3 linked regions of the Schizosaccharomyces pombe genome follow. Changing the gene in region 1 together with any one later gene gives a genetic interaction. Each region holds a gene or a part of one and is shown in the gene's direction. Other genes may lie near its edges.

The links. A genetic interaction does not mean that the proteins touch.
Region 2: mutations in rsv2 (region 1) and scs7 together harm fitness more than expected from each alone (negative genetic interaction), as found in Schizosaccharomyces pombe (2 studies listed by BioGRID).
Region 3: mutations in rsv2 (region 1) and pyp1 impair growth when combined (synthetic growth defect), as found in Schizosaccharomyces pombe (2 studies listed by BioGRID, with this or other methods).

The regions. Positions count from the first base shown.
Region 1 is NC_003423.3:3,529,259-3,537,318, forward strand, and holds rsv2 (DNA-binding transcription factor Rsv2), read left to right. Parts: upstream 1-3,669; 5' UTR 3,670-3,672; coding exon 3,673-5,586; 3' UTR 5,587-6,030; downstream 6,031-8,060. Other genes in the region: hht3 (histone H3 h3.3), read right to left, coding at 1-271; hhf3 (histone H4 h4.3), read left to right, coding at 509-820; SPOM_SPBC1105.13C (uncharacterized protein), read right to left, coding at 2,502-2,930; 3-hydroxyacyl-ACP dehydratase Htd2, read right to left, coding at 6,145-7,047; signal peptidase complex subunit Spc1, read left to right, coding at 7,831-7,914, 7,960-8,046.
Region 2 is NC_003424.3:4,055,102-4,061,134, forward strand, and holds scs7 (ER sphingosine hydroxylase Scs7), read left to right. Parts: upstream 1-1,674; 5' UTR 1,675-1,856; coding exon 1,857-1,914; intron 1,915-1,934; exon of another isoform or gene 1,935-2,202; coding exon 2,203-3,188; 3' UTR 3,189-3,714; downstream 3,715-6,033. Other genes in the region: RNA-binding protein Rsd1, read right to left, coding at 1-771, 863-916; SPOM_SPAC19G12.09 (NADH/NADPH-dependent indole-3-acetaldehyde reductase AKR3C2), read left to right, coding at 5,151-6,005. UniProt on the Schizosaccharomyces pombe protein: Ceramide hydroxylase involved in the hydroxylation of sphingolipid-associated very long chain fatty acids. Postulated to hydroxylate the very long chain fatty acid of dihydroceramides and phytoceramides at C-2.
Region 3 is NC_003424.3:5,159,546-5,165,679, forward strand, and holds pyp1 (protein tyrosine phosphatase Pyp1), read left to right. Parts: upstream 1-1,966; coding exon 1,967-3,619; 3' UTR 3,620-3,815; downstream 3,816-6,134. Other genes in the region: GTPase-activating protein Gyp51, read right to left, coding at 4,196-6,134. UniProt on the Schizosaccharomyces pombe protein: Plays a role in inhibiting the onset of mitosis. Dephosphorylates sty1/spc1 and wis1/spc2/sty2.

The DNA.
Region 1 (8,060 bases):
CAATGGCAGAAGACTGGAAACGCAAGTCAGTCTTGAAATCTTGGGCGATTTCACGGACCAAGCGTTGGAAAGGTAGCTTACGAATCAAAAGTTCAGTAGACTTTTGATAACGACGAATTTCACGAAGAGCGACTGTACCGGGACGATAACGATGAGGCTTCTTAACACCACCAGTAGCGGGAGCAGCCTTACGGGCAGCCTTAGAGGCAAGTTGCTTACGAGGAGCCTTACCACCAGTTGATTTACGTGCAGTTTGCTTAGTACGAGCCATTATTTTCTAGTGTTCTGATAATTGCCCTGTGTAGATAAAAACAAATTATAGGGAGATTACGCTGTATAAATATGTCCCTACATCCAACTTTGATCACAACCCTAACCCTTTAATTAAATTGACGTAAGTTAATAGGGACGGCGCATTAATATATATTGTGAAATGCCGCATACCCTACTAGCAATAGAAGCACTGTTTATAGTAGTAACTCTATTTCGTTAATATTAATAGTGCAATATGTCTGGCCGTGGTAAAGGTGGAAAAGGTTTAGGAAAGGGTGGTGCCAAGCGTCACCGTAAGATCCTTCGTGACAATATTCAAGGTATTACTAAGCCTGCCATTCGTCGTCTTGCTCGTCGTGGTGGTGTTAAGCGTATTTCCGCTTTAGTTTACGAAGAGACTCGTGCTGTCCTCAAGCTCTTCTTGGAAAATGTTATTCGTGATGCTGTCACCTATACTGAGCATGCCAAGCGTAAGACTGTTACATCTTTGGATGTTGTCTACTCTTTGAAGCGTCAAGGCCGTACCATTTATGGTTTCGGTGGTTAAATTCGATATCAATTGCCGACTCCGAATTTTTTGTTTCGAGTCTATCAATTTTATGTGTACACTATAACTATTCTATATATACATGCCAAACGAGAATGTTTTTCATCTGGGCGATATCAGAAGAAGCATTATCAATTTGCTAGTGCAATTCATAGACAAAAAGGCGTTTGGTCTTTGTGAGAAATTTTTCATATCGCGTTGTATCACGGCTGAATACTCCATCTGACAAGAAGATGAATTTTTCTTCGTGGATTTGTGATTAATACATTTATTGAATGAAATGATTAATATAATGTTCATTAAACCCGAATCGTATCGTGATATTTATAAGTAGTACAAATATAGTAAACGCGCAAGTTTTTCTTTAGGTAATTGTTTGTGCGACCTTAAGCAAATTAACCTAGTTGATGCGTTACACTGTTCTTCGTGTCATCTTTCTGGGTATGGGGAAAGTGTGTCTAGTGAATGGGGTTAAAGAAGGTTATCTAAGCGACTAGTTGATAGCAAACAGTTGCATAGCCAGGAAGATTGTGAATTGTACGGTACATCGTAGTTGTGAGGTAATACGCAACTTTCTAATTGAGAGATATCAAATTGAATCAGCTCGATCGCATACTTAGATACTTATTAAGTGTTGTAATTTCGTCAAATAAAACTTTTAACAATGTAAAAAAGTACGTACTTTCTTCCGCTCCTTGCTTAATACCACAATAAATGAATTTACCTAATCTGTATCTAACAACCACATAGTCAACGGGACTAACAAATTCCAGTAAAGTGTTAAGGATAAAAAGCTTTCAGCAATGAGAGCGTACGACTCTTTCTCTAATCTGACATGTTTTCTTTTGTGTTTATAAAGCATTCGTTTTGTATTGACAAATTTTTCAATTACCTTGGGTAGGTGAATTATTTTTGGGCATATGACATCAGAACGCGTTGAACAATTAAGTTCACTTTGACAAAAATACAGATTTTTTATCACTACACGTCGTTTACTTTATATTTTACTTCATCTTATTACAAGGTTACTCTGTAATTGTAACGTTTGACGAAGCCCATAATCCAATCCTCTTTTTCGTTGCAGAGGAAAATAAGGAAGAGTAAGTACGTAAAGCCTACGAAAAGAAAGAGAAATATAAAAAAGTATACGTTTGTCAGTGCAATATTGAATGGTAAGTTTATTAATTGTTCCACTCATCGACTAAATAATAAAGTAGAAAGACGAGACATTTATGTGTATGCTAGAACACACTGGAATCCATTTGTTCACGAGTTGTTCTCGTAATAACATAATGATTGGTATTGCCGTGTGTGAATGCCAGTGATTATTGATGTTTGAAAGACTACAACTGATAAAAAGATAGTTGCACTAGTGATAAAAGTCTGTTGAAATTGGTATGCTCTAAAAGTCATTTGTACTTGAGTAAGCAGTCATATGCGTGTTGGCTATCCATCTGTTTGACTTGTTTGAAAATAATACACATGGGTTATGCTTTTCACAAGAAAGTAGAATAATTGATTCCTACATCTGCATCATCCATATCGATCGGTAAAGTATACTTTATCCTACGAATTGGTTTCATAGTTAAATCACTCCTCTGCTTAGCAGCTCCGCATCCCCTTCGTGTACTAGCCAATCTCATCGACATCGACAAATTGACTTCACCTGAGTTAAGCATACTTAATTCAACTTAACGAAGTGCAACCCACCACGACTGACCTCTGTAATCTCGGAAAACGGATAAGACGGTTCAGTACGTTCGCTAGTAAGAAGCATGCATGCAAAGGTACAAGAGCAGGCTTCCCATGCAAACTGAGAAAATAATCCCTGAAGAATTGCTAGTAAGCCAAATTGCAGCGCCTCCAAACATCCTTCTATTAAGGACCAGAAAGAATGATGCTGATGACTAATTTTTGGGTTATGCAAGAAGCATCTGGCATTTTCTTTAACTTCTCCACGAATAAGGAGAAGGTCACACGACGGAAGCGTGGAATAATGATGAGTTTGATCGTCGGTAAACTCCCCCAGAGTAGCGAAGATCATCGGCATCGAAAGAAAGAAGGGAAGGAAAAAAAAAAGTAAAAACGACTTGATGAATTCCGTGATCATGTAGGGTAACGGAAGACGAGATTACCGAGTTTAAGTAAGCAATCGAGGTCTGCATTGCGATGCCGATATGGTGATCGGGAACATGAAGCACTTGATTGACTTGAACATGTAGGGAGGAAATTTTTTTAGCGTTTTTAGACTTTTCATTTAGCTGCTATCTTAGGAGTAGCGTGACACGGCGCAAACGAAAAACAAGACATTTGTTGTACCAAACATCCTCAATTCCATCGCATCTCTAAAGTACGAGTAACTAGAGTAAGATGCAAATCAACGTCGTGATATGACCTAAAAGTATCGTGGACTTGATTCATCCTTCAATCTCATCTTTCCCCGACTCCGCCTCTTCATTTTGACCTCATTCTATGATTGCTTTTGGAATGAAGCTTGCAGCGTATTCCTTCATTAGTGCGTTATGACTAACCGCGATATATAAGGTGATTTAAGTACTGGAAGCTCGCTTTCCATATGAGAGGACAGCGTAGAGCGCAAGTCGCAGATTGAAGGAATGTAATTGGGGTTCGCTTACACATTACGCGCTTTTATTTGAAAAGAACGAATCAGCAGCACTGCCAGCGCATTCTGACATTTCCATGCTACTTCATTGGCGGCCTCTGATTGGCTCAATCAATGTAAAACGACGTCAATTGCTAACCAATGTTGTTTGACAAGGGTGGTTTTTTCAATCAGACGCTTGACGTCATTCTTTATATATACATTGCCTCGCGCATCTTTGCTGGGTAGTATGGACACTACAAACAACACATATGCAAGATCAATTTCTAGTAATGGGAACGATAACTTTCCCACTCCAGATTGGCAATTTAATGGATCCCAATTGCAACAAAATCGTAAATCCAAAATGAATGGTCGCTCTGTGACTAATGTATTTCCGAATGCATTCTCGGATGCTGAATTCGAGCAAATCTCGATGCCCGAACTCAATTTAAAGCGTTTTAACCCTACTACGTTAGAAGAAAATAACTCAGATTTATCTGATATGTCCTCCTGGGACTATATGATGAACGTTCCCATTCGTGTCTACAACGATGCTGACACAATGGACCCCTTCTCCCTCGACACTATTCCCGATTCCTCGATGGACATGCCATTTGATCCCTTAGCATCTGACTATGGTAACGCTGCTAACTTTCCAAGTGTCCCTTCGTCCCTTGGCAGCAATCATCAATTTATCACCACACCTCCTGTCAACGGGTCGAACGAACCTACCTCGGCTCAAACGAATCACATTATTACTGCTAACAGTTCCCCCAGTGGAAATGCTGGGAGTAACGCATCTGCAAGCATGTCCGTCCCTCCTCCTCTTACTCCATCTGCTTCCACCATTAATGACCAGCCCTTCTCCAACTCTTTCGATTTACCTAGTCAGGTGATTGCTGATGGCACTGGCGCGATTTCCGACATCAACGGTAATCCATTTCCCATGAATTCTCCACCTTTGGATATGGAACCGTTGCCCTCGATATCCATGGATGCAAGTGACTCTGTCTCCGAACAACTTGTAAAGGACGCCTCTCTTCCTAGTGGTCCTTTTTCAACCGATTATTTGGAGAATGGAAGTGACTTAAAAAGGTCACTGGGTCACAATCAAAAGTCAGACAGAGTCTCAAAAGATGTCTCACCTCAACACCAAGCAAATCCCTCTACCCTTAACAATCCTCTCAAGACCCAAAATTTTGATTCCTCTAAGAACCTTTATACCGACAACAAGGATTCCTCCCTTGTATCTCCAACGGGACTTCAATCCCGTATGGAACAAAATCCGGAAGTGCGGGCGCATCCTATGAAGGACTCGGCGACGAGCACTGCGTTACGCCGTTCTCATGCTCTGGGAGCTGCTGCTGACTCTCTTCTTCCTCAAGAAAACTCCGCTCAGATATATGATGGGAAGGATGTATCTATGGTCAATGATAACATGCACTCCGATGTTCGGCAGGACAGCTTCAATAAAGAATCTATTAAACAACGCATCCCTTCTTTGTCTCCTCCGATAACGCGATCATACAATGCCAAGCATCGCCCCTCCTTGGTGCTTGGTACGTCGGTAAATCCACATTCACTTTCTCCTTCACAGCCTCCTGTTGTCGTACCTTCAAATACTACGATCAGCTCCTCTCCTCCACTCACTTCTCCTGTTAAAACCTCTGCTAATATACCTAACTTATTACCGACTTCAGAGTTAGACAGTTCCAACGCTCCTCACTCTCAATCGGCTGCTACTCATGACCTAAATGACGTTAAGTCGTATTACAATACTAGGTCTTCTCATTCCGTGGTACCTAATCCAACCAACCAAAAAGTAAGCATCACCGGTGCTGCTGCTGATGGCCCCAACGGATCTGCTCCTGTTGACACCACTCCTACAAATTCTTCTACTACTGCTACGGGTGCTCAGAGGAAGCGTAGGAAGTTTAAATTTGGTAAACAAATTGGTCCAGTTCGGTGTACTCTTCAGAACAGAGTTACAGGAGAAATTTGTAACACAGTGTTTTCTAGGACGTATGATTTGATCCGTCACCAGGATACGATACATGCTAAGACACGACCTGTATTTCGATGTGAGATTTGTGGCGATCAACGCCATTTCAGTAGACATGATGCCTTGGTTAGGCATCTCCGTGTGAAACACGGTAGATAAATTGAAAGGAGTCTCTTCTGCCACAAATATTAAAAAAAGGTTATTGCATTATCTATTGTCATTTTTCACCTCTTACGCTTCTTCATTGATTCCTTGTTTATGAATTTTAAAAAAAGTTGCATTTTGCTAATTATTTTCAAGAAAAAAATTGGTACCGTTATTATTTCACAGCCCTTTTGAAAGTGCTTTTTCCTTTGTCTCCTTTCATGTACATTTATCATCTTAATTTTGCCTCTTCATTTCATCGTATCCTCAAGCTTCATGTGTAATTTCAAACCCCTTCTCCGTCTAACGGTTTCCTTTTTTATTTTGGACGGTCATAAGTGTTTTTATATTTTGTTTTCATTTTTATTGGGATTGGTTAATATTGTTTTTTTTTTCTTACCAAGTTACTGTTAAATGTTAATAAAAAATTTTGTGTGTTTTCACCTTAAATTGAATACCTATCATGTAATTTGATTTAGTTTTACATACTTAAATTTTAATATTAGTAAGTAGTATTTGTAATTTAGAAATATTTTTTCTGCCGGTATTAATTATTATTGTTTTTCAGTTATGTTAGGTATAGACGCGGCCTCTAGCAATCAAAGACGGTGGATCAAGGTCTGTAGTAAATCGATCAATCCATAGGTTACCTGTCTCTGAGATACATATGCGTAGTGGTTGATTGACAAACGCGGGAGATAATAATCGAAACTCAAATCTTTTCATGTTCTTTGACATTTGGGGATAAACAGAACGAAAGTACTCTAACATACTAGTCACTAGAAGAGGACCTGGAAGAACGAGATTTGGATAATTTTCGGACTTTGTAGCGTATGTCGCATTCCAATGGATCATATGAGCATTAAACATTAATGCTGAATAGCGAAACACCATAATAGGTGTAGGTGTGAATACCCAAGAGTGTTGTGGAATACTTTTGCTACGTAAAGTTTTTGGTATAGCCAGTTCTTGTCGATTTAAATAGGCTAATGTTCTATCTTCCTCGATACATAATTGATGCTGACTGTCGTAAATTTTTCTTCGAATATATACATGCTTTGTCTGTTTTTCTGAAGTAGGCTTTGTTAGAAAAGAACTTTTTGGAAGACAAGCTTCAACTTCTTTTGTAATTGATGGAGATTTCACAGATTCTTCCTGAATCAATTCATGACATTCCGAAGTTTGGAAAAGATGTAAAGGTCTATGAAAACGAAGGACTCCATGTAACCATATTCGGCGCTTAAAAGAAAAAGGATTATTTGGCTTTGGGGAATAAAGACTTTCATATCCATCTGAATTCAAATTTGATTCAGGAGATGCTAAAGAGAAAAAAAGAAAATGGTAACCAGGCTGTAATGATGTTATTTTAGCATCCATTGTTATGCAACTAACAGGCAAATGACCACTTAAAGTAGCTTTTAACTTATCAATTGGCGCTTGAGATAAGAAATCCTTTAAAACGACCTTTGCTGACATCGATGATTACTTTCTGAAACGCTTTGCACATTGACTTTTCAAGTAGGCAATTTATCAATACTGAAGGTGATCTATTAGAAATTATTATAAATTAGCCGAAGCAATTATCCCTAAGAAGACCTCAACTTTTAAAATCGGAAAGGACAAATCTTTGAAGCAATAAGCTCTTAATTTTATGGAACCTAATAACTTTAACAGCTACACATTACTAATTGCTTTTGGCACGACCCAAATTGCTTAAGGTATACGTGTAATGCTTGTTTTATACCGTTAGTGGAGACTTGACCTCTTTTAGCAATGAAGTACTAGCAAAATTTATGATAATCGCACATCTAATAAAAGATAATTTCACCAAATGAAAAAAAAAACCACCTAAGCAATTAATATACGATTTAAGTCACATACATTTAAATTAAGCCCTTGTTGGTGAATCTTTATTAATTATTAATCGTTTATGAACGCTGAAGTACCTTAACCTGTTAATTGTAAAGATCATTTCTATATAATGTTAATAGGTCATCAATGAGCCGCTTTTTCATTTTCAAATCGAATTTGACATTGAGGTGTTGATTTACATCTATTGAAAATGAAGGAGCAACCGATTTGCCTATATATTTTCATGCCTCTTTTTTTGCTTGTTTTTTGTTTCATATTCATCAATGTACAACGTGCTATTGGATTACAACACGTTATTATGGTAAACCGAACGATAACGAGATTCATTCGTTGTAACCACATAATACAAAAAGCAACTTTACTGTTTTGAGAAAGAGCAAGCATACCATGAACTATCTTGAAGGTACGATCGATTTTGCAGGACAATTAAGGTGTCAAAAGTATATGAACTATGGTCTATGTACAAGTGCTGTATGTCAGGGATAAAATCTCATTTATTTACTAATATATCTATAGGTTATTTCGTACATTTATGGGTATTTAGTTCAAGATTCTTATTGTGTGATTAAATTGTTTTTAATTTTAGCATCGTTGGTGGCTCTTGTAAGCTAGTTTTT
Region 2 (6,033 bases), on another chromosome or scaffold:
CTTGTCTCGAACAATTTGAGCATCGCGAACAGGACCAGCTTGTTCGAAAAAATCATATAATTCCCTAGAAGTCAAACGATTTGCGAGTTGAGAAACGAACACAGTACGGCGATCACGCTCTTCCTCTGAAAGTTTAGAGGAGCGTTCACGAGGACGGGAACGACTTCTCTTACGCTCATGTGAACGGTCATCATCCCTCAAGTCCTCATAATCATAATCATGGGCTCTAGAAGAACGAGAGGAGCGTTCTTCATAGCGGCGACGACTACGACTATGCCGCGAAGAGTAAGGAGGGCTGCGTGAATAATCATCGTATCGATGGCGACTACGACTTGAGGGATGGCGGCTTCGACTTGACCTTGAACTGCGATCGCGATCGCGAGAACGAACGGGTGATCTACTTTGATGAGAATCTACAGAAGAGTGAGGAGAGGGAGAGCGACTACCATAATCGGACCTTGGACTATATGATCTCCTATGGTGTCTTGGGGTGCGATGACTTGAGGAATTTGTAACTACATCATCGTTATAACCGCTATCCTCTCGTTGAAAAGATTGTTTGGAAGATCTGGCGTACCGATAACCCATTGAAACGGGAGGAGGAGTTAGACGACCTTCACTTTCGTAATTTTTAGACACGGGTTTGAAAGAGCGATCATGCAACCGTGTAGGCGGTGGAGGAGGGTTAGAGGGATGACTATGAGTGGAAGAGGTGAGTGAGGATTCATGAAAAGAAGAAGATGCCTTTTGCTGATTTTCTTGATTTTGCGGCTAGGAAAAGGGTTAGTAAAAACAATAAACACGGGAAGACAAAAAAACAAAGGGAAAAGGCGGGAAGGAAGGAAAAAAATTGTAAACGTACCACTTCTTGCTTACGAAAAGGAGCCTCAGCCAAGGCTTCCGCGTCCAGCTGCATTTAGATTAGATCTGTTTATCTATGCGTGGAAAATACGTTCGTTTATTTTCGTTTTCAATACAACAAACTCTGACAGGATCGGAACAGACTTCGACTGGAAAACTAAGTAAGCTAGTAAAAATGGAGTTTTGTCAGTCTAGTAGCTTTCGTCGCTTCTAACACGAATTGTTTTGTTAAAAAATATTAATAATGAGTACTCTTTTGAGCTATTTTGTCCTCTTTCTTTCGGTGGAAAAAAAAGTGGAATATTCTACTGCCTAAGCGATAAAAGATGAGAGAAATTTTAGTACAAACAAAAAAGAAAGCGAGGAATAGCGGAATAAGGAAATTCCAAGCTAAAAACAATTACCGACAATAAGAAGCAAAGAAACGGAAAGGAAGGAAAACAAAATTATACCTAACCAAACCAACGAAAAGTAAATCACGAAAAGTTAATAAATTTCGATCAACTTAAGGTTTTCTCTTTTCAAGTATTTTTTCGCAAATAATAATTTTTAGTCTACTATGAATAAATCAATGAATTGTATCTGTAAAGCACTTCACTCGTCTGTTCTTTCCCTGTGTATAGGCCCTTGAGTGCAATTTTCTGGTGTTCAGTTTCGGAACCCGTTTTGCGATACGGTAAATATTGTTTTCCGTTGTCTTACCATTTTTCGGAAAAGTCGATCAAAAATAGCACGATTTTTTGGTTCGCCCCGCAATGCCTTTTTGCCCTTTCCTGCGACATATATAGGCTACTGCATCCACGCCACAACATCGTGCCATTAACGCAACACAAACAAAGAACTGACATTTTGATCAATTGGACAAAAATCCAAGTAAAGAATCATAGGATCAGTTGCTACGTTGTAATATTTACTGTATTTGTTTATCAAACTCATCAGAAACACGCTTGCTACAGTTTTATCACGAATTAACAATTCATACTCCCATCTCCAAAATGGCCTCTGTTACTAGTGAAAAGTGTGTTATCCTTTCTGACGGCACTGAATACGATGGTAAGTATTTAAACAAGGAGAAATGGCAGGGTGTTTGGGTTTTGAGAAGGAGATTTGGTTGAAGGACTAAAATTTTTTCTCGGCAACAGAGTGTTTGAGAGGCAATGTATAAAAAACAATGAAAACGCATATAGCAAAGGCTTATTGGCAAAAGATCCATTGTGGGAGATGTGCCATTTCTTATCTTTTTTCTTTGTTCGTTGTGCTTTTAACTTTTTTTCACCTTTCCCCCTTTGCCTTAGTTACACCAAAATACATGTATCGTTCTTTATACTAACATTCCATTAGTCACCAACTACTTGGTTGCCAACAAGGACGCTGCTGACTTGCTTCGTCGCTATCACCGCCAAGAGGTTGCTGATATCCTTAATGCTACCTCCAAGTCCAAGCACTCTGAAGCTGTTGTTGAGATCTTGAAAAGTGCTAAGGTTCCTTTGAAGAATAAGGAATTCAGTGATCTTGTCGACCAGAACATTGGTGTCGGTTATGGCAATGAATTCATTGTCAAGCCTACCGATCTTGACAAGGATTTCGAGAAGAACCATTTCCTTGACCTCAAGAAGCCTTTATTGCCCCAAATTTTGTTTGGTAACATCAAGAAGGATGTTTATTTGGACCAAGTTCACCGTCCCCGTCATTACCGTGGCAGCGGTTCTGCTCCTTTGTTTGGAAACTTTTTGGAGCCTCTTACCAAGACCCCTTGGTATATGATTCCATTGATTTGGGTTCCCTGTGTCACTTATGGATTCTTGTACGCCTGTACCGGAATTCCCTTCTCTGTTGCTATCACCTTCTTCATCATTGGATTATTCACCTGGACTTTGGTTGAATATACTATGCATCGTTTCCTCTTCCACTTGGATGAGTACACCCCTGATCATCCTATTTTCTTGACTATGCACTTCGCATTCCACGGTTGCCACCACTTCTTACCTGCTGACAAGTACCGTCTTGTAATGCCTCCTGCTTTGTTCCTTATCTTTGCCACTCCCTGGTATCACTTTATTCAACTTGTTCTTCCTCACTACATTGGTGTTGCTGGTTTCTCTGGTGCCATTCTTGGTTACGTTTTCTACGATCTTACCCACTATTTCTTACATCACCGTCGTATGCCCAATGCTTACTTGACTGATTTGAAGACCTGGCATTTGGACCATCACTACAAGGATTACAAGTCTGCCTATGGTATCACCAGCTGGTTTTGGGACCGTGTTTTTGGAACTGAGGGACCTCTTTTCAACGAACAGGGAAAGATCAGCACTAAGGCTAAGTAGATTGTGATTGCGTTTGAATCATTTAGCTGCTAAATTGCTTTCAAGGTGTTAAAAGTTTCTTTGGTCCTTTTTAACTATCAATAATTTTGTGTGCTATATAAATCTTGTTGTATTTTTCTTTTCTTTTTTAATTGCTTTCCAAATTTTTTCTCCTCTCTTTACCCTTGAAATCACTAAGCAATTTTCCCCCATTTTCTCTCTGACTTTAACTAGGCCTTATTATAGTGCCTTAAAGCTGTGTATTATATTTGAATTGCAGAAACATCAAATTTGATTTAATTTGATTGATCCACTCGCTAAAGCATCTTGTATCCCACATTGAAATTGTCTTGTCTTTCTTCTTTTCTATTAATACTATTTTCTGGTTTCTTTTGAACAAGTTTTCAAACTTTACCTTGTTAAGTCGAACTTAATAATATTATCTTGACTATCGGCTATATAATTTGAGTCTAAGGTTGCTATTTTATTTTTCCTTTTATCTGTCTTTTAAATATAATTCGAATTTTTAATTGTTTTTACCACCCCATCTGTTTGTAGTGCGAAATGATTTTCTTGTAGAAGCATCTCCATATCATAAGAGCGCTGAATAGTTTTTGTTGACCAAATATGCAACGCCGAGACGAAAAATTTAGGAAGAAGATGAATAGAGATATCCACAATATATATGTTTTAACTATATTTAAGGGTCATTTTACATTTGTTTATAAAATGTAAAAAAATTTATTAAAAAGATCGTAATGAAAGGTGTGGGACTCGAACCCACGAGCTTTCGCACTAGTGCCTTAAACTAGCTCCATAACCACTCGGACAACCTTCCTTTTTTGAGTATTAGGGTAACTTAAATCATCATATAGGATTTCACTAATAAATTTTTATTTTAAAAATTTGTTTTCTTGTGAATAAAAGTGTAGCAATTTACTGATTATTTAACCAGAAAATAGATTTTAGACAAAATCTATAAAAATATTTGTTAACAGAAACTAGCTTGTGGGGAATGCGTTTAGAATTCCTCAATTACAAGTTGCAGGTAAATTTACCCTAGTGTTTGTTAAGCGGACGTCGAGTTATTAACCATTACTATTGACGTTGGTTAACATGAATAAGCTTGAATTATTGCCAAGTCATTTTCCTGACACTTTCAGATTTGTTTATTTGTTTTTTTCTCAACCTCTGACATTTAGATGCATAATACATGTCAAAGACTTCTTAAATGATTACGATCATCATGCCTTGAAGGAGTTTCCTCAATTTCTTGCCGATAAAGACTATAGTAAAAAATGATCTAGCAAAACTGAGTAAGCATTGTTTATGATTAAAGCATTGCTATTATAACGCTACAGCTTAATGGTAACTACCTTACATTTATTAACATTATAGGTAAGAATATGCTGTAAAAACCGCCAACTCATCTGGTGGTGAAGATAATCCTCGCAGCTAAAACAGAGGGATTCATTCAAGAATTGAATATTGCTAAATCAATTAAATACCGAATCTAACGTTCAACTTATTCTTGCCTGTAAAACTGTTTTCTATTCAACTTACACTGTTTAGTTGGAACAAATCTGCTTTTGGTTACACGTTTGTTCCTTATCTGATCAGATAATTCTTCATTTTAAAGTTCCAAAGACTCCTCTCTTAGATGCTGCACAACGTCAGTCAGATATTCTGTATGCCAAGCCAGACTTGGCTGATGTCATCTGACTAAGTTTTTGGAAATCTATATAAATAGCGATATACGGCCCTTTCTCGCACTCTTTTCACCTAAACAGAGCATTTTTAAAGAAGAAATTTATTAATTCTTGCTGCGATTCTCTTTTCTTTTGCTTGCAAAAATCTCGGTTTAACGTTTATTCCATTCATTTCTATTTAACAATTTTTATCCTGCAACTTTTAAAGTAGCGCCTCTTTGTAGCTTACTCTTTTTCTACTTTCAAGTTCTTTCGTACTCTTAACATTTTCAACATGCTTATCGCTGCTATGGGCCCTAAGATTCCCGTCCCTGCTTATGGGGTTGGTACAGCTTTGTTTAAGAAAGAAAAGGGAGAAATCAATCGAACCATTGTAGATTCGGTAAAGAATGCACTTGCTGCTGGTTTCATTCATATCGACTGCGCGGAAGTATATGGCAACGAAGAGGAAGTTGGGGTGGCTTTGAAGGAAGCTAATGTTCCAAGAAGCAAACTCTTTATTACTTCCAAGGTTATGCATAATGTCGATAACATTCCTGAAGCCCTCAACGAATCTTTACGTAAGCTTGGTACTGACTATTTGGACCTGTACCTTTTGCATAGTCCTATTCCTTTCTATGAAAAGAAAATACCCATTTCTGAAGGTTGGAAAGCAATGGAAACGGCTTTGGGAACCGGTCTTGTCCACTCAGTTGGTGTTTCTAACTTTCGTATTCCCGACTTAGAGGAGCTGTTGAAAACTTCAACTATTACTCCTCGTGTCAACCAAATCGAATTTCACCCTCAAGTATACAAGGCCGCGAAGCCTCTTGTAGAATTTTGCCAGAGTAAAGGAATTATCGTTGAGGGTTATGGCCCTCTTTCTCCCTTGGTTCGTGATGCGCAAGGTCCTGTTGCTGAATTCACTAAATCATTGGAGAGCAAGTACCATGTTTCTGATACTCAAATTCTTCTCAAGTGGGCCTATTCTAAAGGCGTTATACCTATCACTACTACCTCAAAAATTGAGCGTATGAAGGAGTGCTTGAATTTTGATTCTTTCACTCTAGACAAGGCTGACATTGACGAACTTGGTACCTTAGGTGTTCAACATCACAAGCGTACATTTATGAAGCACATGGATGAGTAATACTTTTATGTGATCAAGATAATTTTTA
Region 3 (6,134 bases), on another chromosome or scaffold:
GTCGTTGGCTTTTTTTTTTTTCTTTCTTACCCGGGGGACTATTAAGTGATATCATTGTTTGGTGCTCCAAGATATACCTATTTCTACTTCTTCTTCTCTTTCTACATATCGCTCGCTCGTCCTCTCCCTTCCTCCTCTTAACCCTTTACTTGCTCCCAATCCTTTTTATCTTTTGGGTTTCCTGTTTAAACGTTGGGTAAAGTATAAGATTGGATCTTATTTTCATCGTCGTTTTGTTGGATCGTATGAAAAATTTTACCTTGGTTCGTCGCTCAGTCCTTGCTCTGATCGTTTGGTAAAAATCAAAAATCGTTAGACTTGATTTCGTTGACGTTTAGTGCGTTTAATTCTCTTTCTTAGATTTTTTCCTCCATCCTTCATCTCGTCAACAGTTCTCTCTGTTGTCTCTCCACCGCTATACGTAGCTTTTAAAAGTCGTTTGTTTCATTACCTGCGCCCATCTTTTCTTTTCTAAACTTTAACTCAAAGTGAATAAATAGGAAGAACTAGTCTTTTTTCCTTCCATAAAAGAGCACCAGATATATCGTTGAATCGCCGTGCTTTTTCTATTTGCTTCATTTTTTTATCCCGTACGATGCAAAATAGTTAATTTCTTCAACTTTTCTCAACTTTTGTTTCACCACTTCTTTCTCTCAATTGGGTTAGATTTTTCTCCTTTTACATTTTTTTTATACCTCCCTCTTTTTTTTTCTTGTTTCCTTTTCGTTGATATTTTCATATTTTCGGAATTCTCCTTTTCTAGTTATCCTATTTCTCGTTTCATCATTTTCTTTGTCTTTTCTCAAAAAGGTGTACTCTTGGGTTTCTTTCCACAGTGTAGTATCGCTTTTTTTGAACCTTTGAAGAGCTCATATATTCCTTTCCCTTGAGTTTTTCGGATTAAGTTTTGAATTTTTTTCCCATTTTCTTCATTGCTTTACCGTTTGTTTTCACTTCACTTTGGGGTCTTGGTGGTTACTTGTCTATTGTTTTTTTTGTGGGGTTCTGCATTCTGAATAGTTCTGTTTCTTTTTTTCTGAACTCATCTGTCTAAGTATTCACCATTCATTTGGTTTATTTACAGACGTGTGCTCTGTAATTTTCATCCTTAGTTGACCTTACGTTTTTGCTAGTTTGTTGCATCAACGTGCTTTTGGTTCCCCCCTTTAGCTTTGAATACGCTTCTGACTTTTAAATTGGGTTTTCTGTTTTGTAGGAAAATTATTCCATTGTCATTACATTTCAATTAGCCTCTACCTCTTTTCGTTCCTCGATCTCCTACTTGTATACTTTTCTGCACTTTGACAAACTGCAACTTATAATATTTCTTATACCCTCTATCTTATATTTTTGTTCAGTCTGGTTACTGTTTTCGTGCGTGTGCCCTACCTTTTTGCATTTTCTACTAAATACGAAATAATTTCTTAAATAGTGTTGCTTTTTGCAATCTTGCACTGTGCACTCACAAGCAGTATTTTTATTTTCCTCTTAAAATCGCTTGACCTTTGAAGTGACGATTCATTAATCCGTTAATTTTTAAGGATTCCCCCTTTTTATTCTCATATTTGCATAGTACTGATTCAAACCCATTCTTTGAATTGGATACTCCTCATCCCCTCTAAAACTCTTCCATCTTTATTTTCTGCAGAAAGTTTGAATTGAAAAACTTTTTTCATCTCAGACTTGATTTGAATCTTCTCTTGTTTCCTTCTATATTTTACTAATTTTATTGCCAAATTTTGCGTTAATTCTTTCCTTTTTAGAACCCTGGATTTTCCGTAATTTTGATATTTCCTATCCATTCATTATTTTGCTTTCGGCCTTCAAAACTTGTGCTATCCAATATTTGTATTTTATTTAAGAAGTCTGAATTTTTTTTTACTTTTTTACTTTTTTTTTTAATCATCTCTGCTTCTTTTTTAAGGCCAAATATTCTTAATACAAAACATTCATCTAAAAAACCACGATGAATTTTTCAAACGGTTCAAAATCGTCTACTTTTACAATTGCTCCTTCGGGTTCATGTATTGCTTTACCTCCTCAGCGGGGTGTAGCAACGAGTAAGTATGCTGTTCATGCTTCTTGCCTCCAAGAATATCTCGACAAGGAAGCTTGGAAGGATGACACATTGATCATCGACCTTCGTCCCGTATCCGAGTTTTCCAAATCTAGAATTAAGGGCTCCGTCAATCTTTCTTTACCTGCAACCTTAATTAAGCGTCCTGCCTTTTCGGTCGCGCGTATCATCAGCAATCTTCACGACGTCGACGACAAGAGAGATTTTCAAAACTGGCAAGAGTTTTCATCCATTCTTGTTTGTGTTCCTGCTTGGATTGCTAACTACGTAACGAACGCTGAGGTAATTGGTGAAAAATTTAGAAAAGAATCCTATTCTGGTGACTTCGGTATTTTAGATTTAGACTATTCGAAAGTCTCGGGCAAGTATCCATCTGTGATTGACAACTCTCCTGTAAAAAGTAAATTAGGTGCTTTGCCTAGCGCTCGCCCCAGATTGTCTTACTCTGCTGCTCAAACTGCTCCTATCTCTTTGTCCAGCGAAGGCTCCGATTACTTCTCTCGTCCTCCTCCCACTCCTAATGTTGCCGGTTTGTCTTTAAATAACTTTTTCTGTCCTCTACCTGAGAACAAGGACAACAAATCTTCTCCATTTGGCAGTGCTACAGTCCAGACACCCTGCTTACACAGTGTGCCCGATGCTTTTACCAATCCAGATGTTGCGACCCTCTACCAGAAGTTCTTGCGCCTGCAATCATTGGAGCATCAACGTCTAGTTTCTTGTTCGGATCGTAATTCTCAGTGGAGTACCGTTGATTCATTGAGTAATACATCGTATAAGAAAAACAGATATACCGACATTGTTCCTTACAATTGTACTCGTGTGCATTTGAAAAGAACTAGCCCTTCAGAGCTCGATTATATCAATGCTTCCTTTATCAAAACTGAAACTTCAAATTACATCGCTTGCCAAGGTTCTATTTCTCGTTCTATTAGCGATTTCTGGCACATGGTATGGGACAATGTGGAGAATATAGGCACTATTGTTATGCTTGGTTCATTGTTCGAGGCTGGCCGCGAAATGTGTACTGCATATTGGCCAAGTAATGGTATTGGAGATAAACAAGTGTATGGAGATTACTGTGTCAAACAAATTTCGGAGGAAAATGTCGATAATTCTCGATTCATTTTGCGAAAGTTTGAAATTCAGAATGCCAATTTTCCTTCAGTTAAAAAAGTACATCACTATCAATATCCTAATTGGTCTGATTGTAATTCTCCTGAAAACGTGAAATCTATGGTTGAGTTCTTAAAATATGTGAACAACTCTCACGGATCAGGAAATACTATTGTGCACTGCTCTGCCGGTGTTGGTCGGACAGGAACCTTTATTGTACTAGATACGATCCTACGCTTCCCAGAAAGCAAACTTTCTGGTTTCAATCCTTCTGTCGCCGATTCTTCAGACGTCGTTTTCCAGTTGGTTGATCATATCCGAAAGCAGCGGATGAAGATGGTTCAAACCTTCACACAATTTAAATATGTGTATGACTTGATCGATTCTTTGCAAAAATCTCAAGTTCATTTCCCGGTTTTAACATGAAATTTTTGACTGGATTTTTCTTGGCAATATATATTCGTGTTTTAATCGATTCCTTTATTTCTTGTACTTGTAAAGTGTCTTTTTTTTTACATTTGCATTTGAATTTACTGTCAATGTTTGTGAAATTCAGTTGCTTTAATCACGTTGTCTTTTATTTCAAAAAGTATATTTGAGAACTAGGCTTTTTAATGATATCTTTTTTTCTCTTAAATTTTCTTTTTAGAACTTTGTAAACCTATTTTTTGTACAAGATAAAGTCATCAAACTGATAATAACCTTGTATTATTTTCAGATGCTTTTTAAAATTTATTACTCGATTTCTTTAGGCAGAAATATAGAGTTTAAGCGAAGTGGTCGTGATCAAGAGCAATAGAATTCTTTCTTCACTGATTAAAGGTGAGACGATTCATTAAATATACATTCATTTGAACTATCGTTTGTATGTTTTTAAGTAAGACAAACTTGCAGGAACAAAGATTTTTTATAATACACATTAAACGTAACTCAATATAAATAAATTATTATGGCAATCATTAGGATGCAGATATTCCAATAGTACCTAGAATGCTTTTATATTCACTTTGTCTTTATGCGGTTCATAAGCTGACTCCATTTTTGTAAAGCCATCATATGGTCCTCGTCTAAAACGGCCAAGTTAACTTTAGTTTCAGCAAGCTGCTTTTCTTTTCTAAAGATTTCATCTTCGAGAGACTGACTTTCAACCATAATTTCTAAATTCTCAGCAATGATTGCTTCCATATCTCCTTGAAATGCCTGCTCTATTTCTGACTTTTGCTTAGCAAGTTGACTATTTAAGGATGCAATTTCGGATTTTAATGATGCTTGTTCAACAGTTTGATTTTTTAGATACATTTTTTCTTTCAGTAGTAGAGCGGACATGTTCTCATGTTCAACTTGCAAATTTGCCATTGAATCTGACAACATGATAAAATGCTCATTTAAAGATTTGTGCCTATTACGCATTTCTTCAAGAGAAGAGTCTAGCTCATGCTCCGATTTAAGTAAAATGTCATATTCATTTCCGTATCGATCCAAGACATCCGGCTGAATTTCGAAAGAGAAAGCAGTTTTTACAAACAAAGATGTATCATAATTCTCGCCTTCTTGAGTCTCCTTAAAGGCCAAAAAAATGTCTTCCTTAAGGTAACTAATCAGCCTATCCATATTGAGTTTCAGCAGGCTCTCTTGACTGTGACTTAGCAACGCAAGCCCAAAATTGAAGAGTATACCTGGACCATACAGAAATAAAATATCATACAGATGAGCAACGACTTCTAAAGGAAATTTATAGGCAAACAAGGTTAAAAACCATTCTGAAGCATACGAACATGTTTTGATGTCTTGACGCTTAAAATGAATTGCCAGAGATGGCATATAATCTTCCACCAGACGCGTGAATTGGTGTAAAACACGACTTAATCCTCTCATTTCTGAAGAAAAAATATTTTGCAAATGATAGTTTTTGAATAAAAAGACAAGTAAGGCAAATGCTTGAGGCGCTGGTAAGTGCATAAGTAAAGCACCTGCGATCCATGACATTCCTTGGGTATAGCCAACTTGTGGTAAGACAATAGCAAGAGACCGTAGGACACGATGCAAATTAGCGGTAGATTCTGCTATGTTATCTGTAGGTTCTAGCTGTTGACGATTGGAAAAAAAGTGACTTAAAATTTCAGGAGCAAACGTTCTGTCAAGATCTTTACGTATTGCTTTATCTGAATCACAGTTCTTAATGCTTAAAGATGAATACTGCATTTCATAATCATATGATGTCCAAGAAGATATAGTCTTCCATACAACAGTATGGACTGTGTGAGAATTGTGCATCAAAATCAAATTTCGGAATTCATCAAAACATTCATCGAGAACAAAGAGTGGGTTTTGAATGAAGTTCGATAATAGGGTAAATACCTGGTTTGATACGGTAGAAGACTGACTCTGAAGATACTCTAAAATTTCTAACTTTTGAGCATCGCCGATAGATCTTGGTTTTGAAATAAAAACGCTTTCAAGATATGAAGATATAACCCTTGGTGACTTATCACTAGGATACCGAAGTGGATTGAGCCAGGAAGAAACTGCTGTTGAAAAAGGAGATGTGGAATTATTGTGTGCCGATCTGCTTTTTGTTTTTACATGATTCGTCGAAAGCGAAGTTCCGGGACTGAAAGCAGTGTTCTTTTTCCCAACTTCGTCTTTAATAGTTTCGGGAACCTGGTTTTGTAACTTTTTTATTGTTTGAATGACTTCAATGGTCTCAGATGAAGCATCTAACACATGAGAAGGGGGTTCAGAATTTGAAAGATTATTCGTGTCTAAAGGCAAGCTCGATGTACTATTTGTACCATCCTTCGGATGCGGTTCTTGGGACCCAGATGCAGAAAGTTCATCATTTCGTTGATTAGAATTGAGAAATATAGTAGAGGATGAGGCAACAATAGGCGTTGGAGCTTCAAGCGGATCATCCTGTGTCGCTATTTTTTCTTCATTCAAA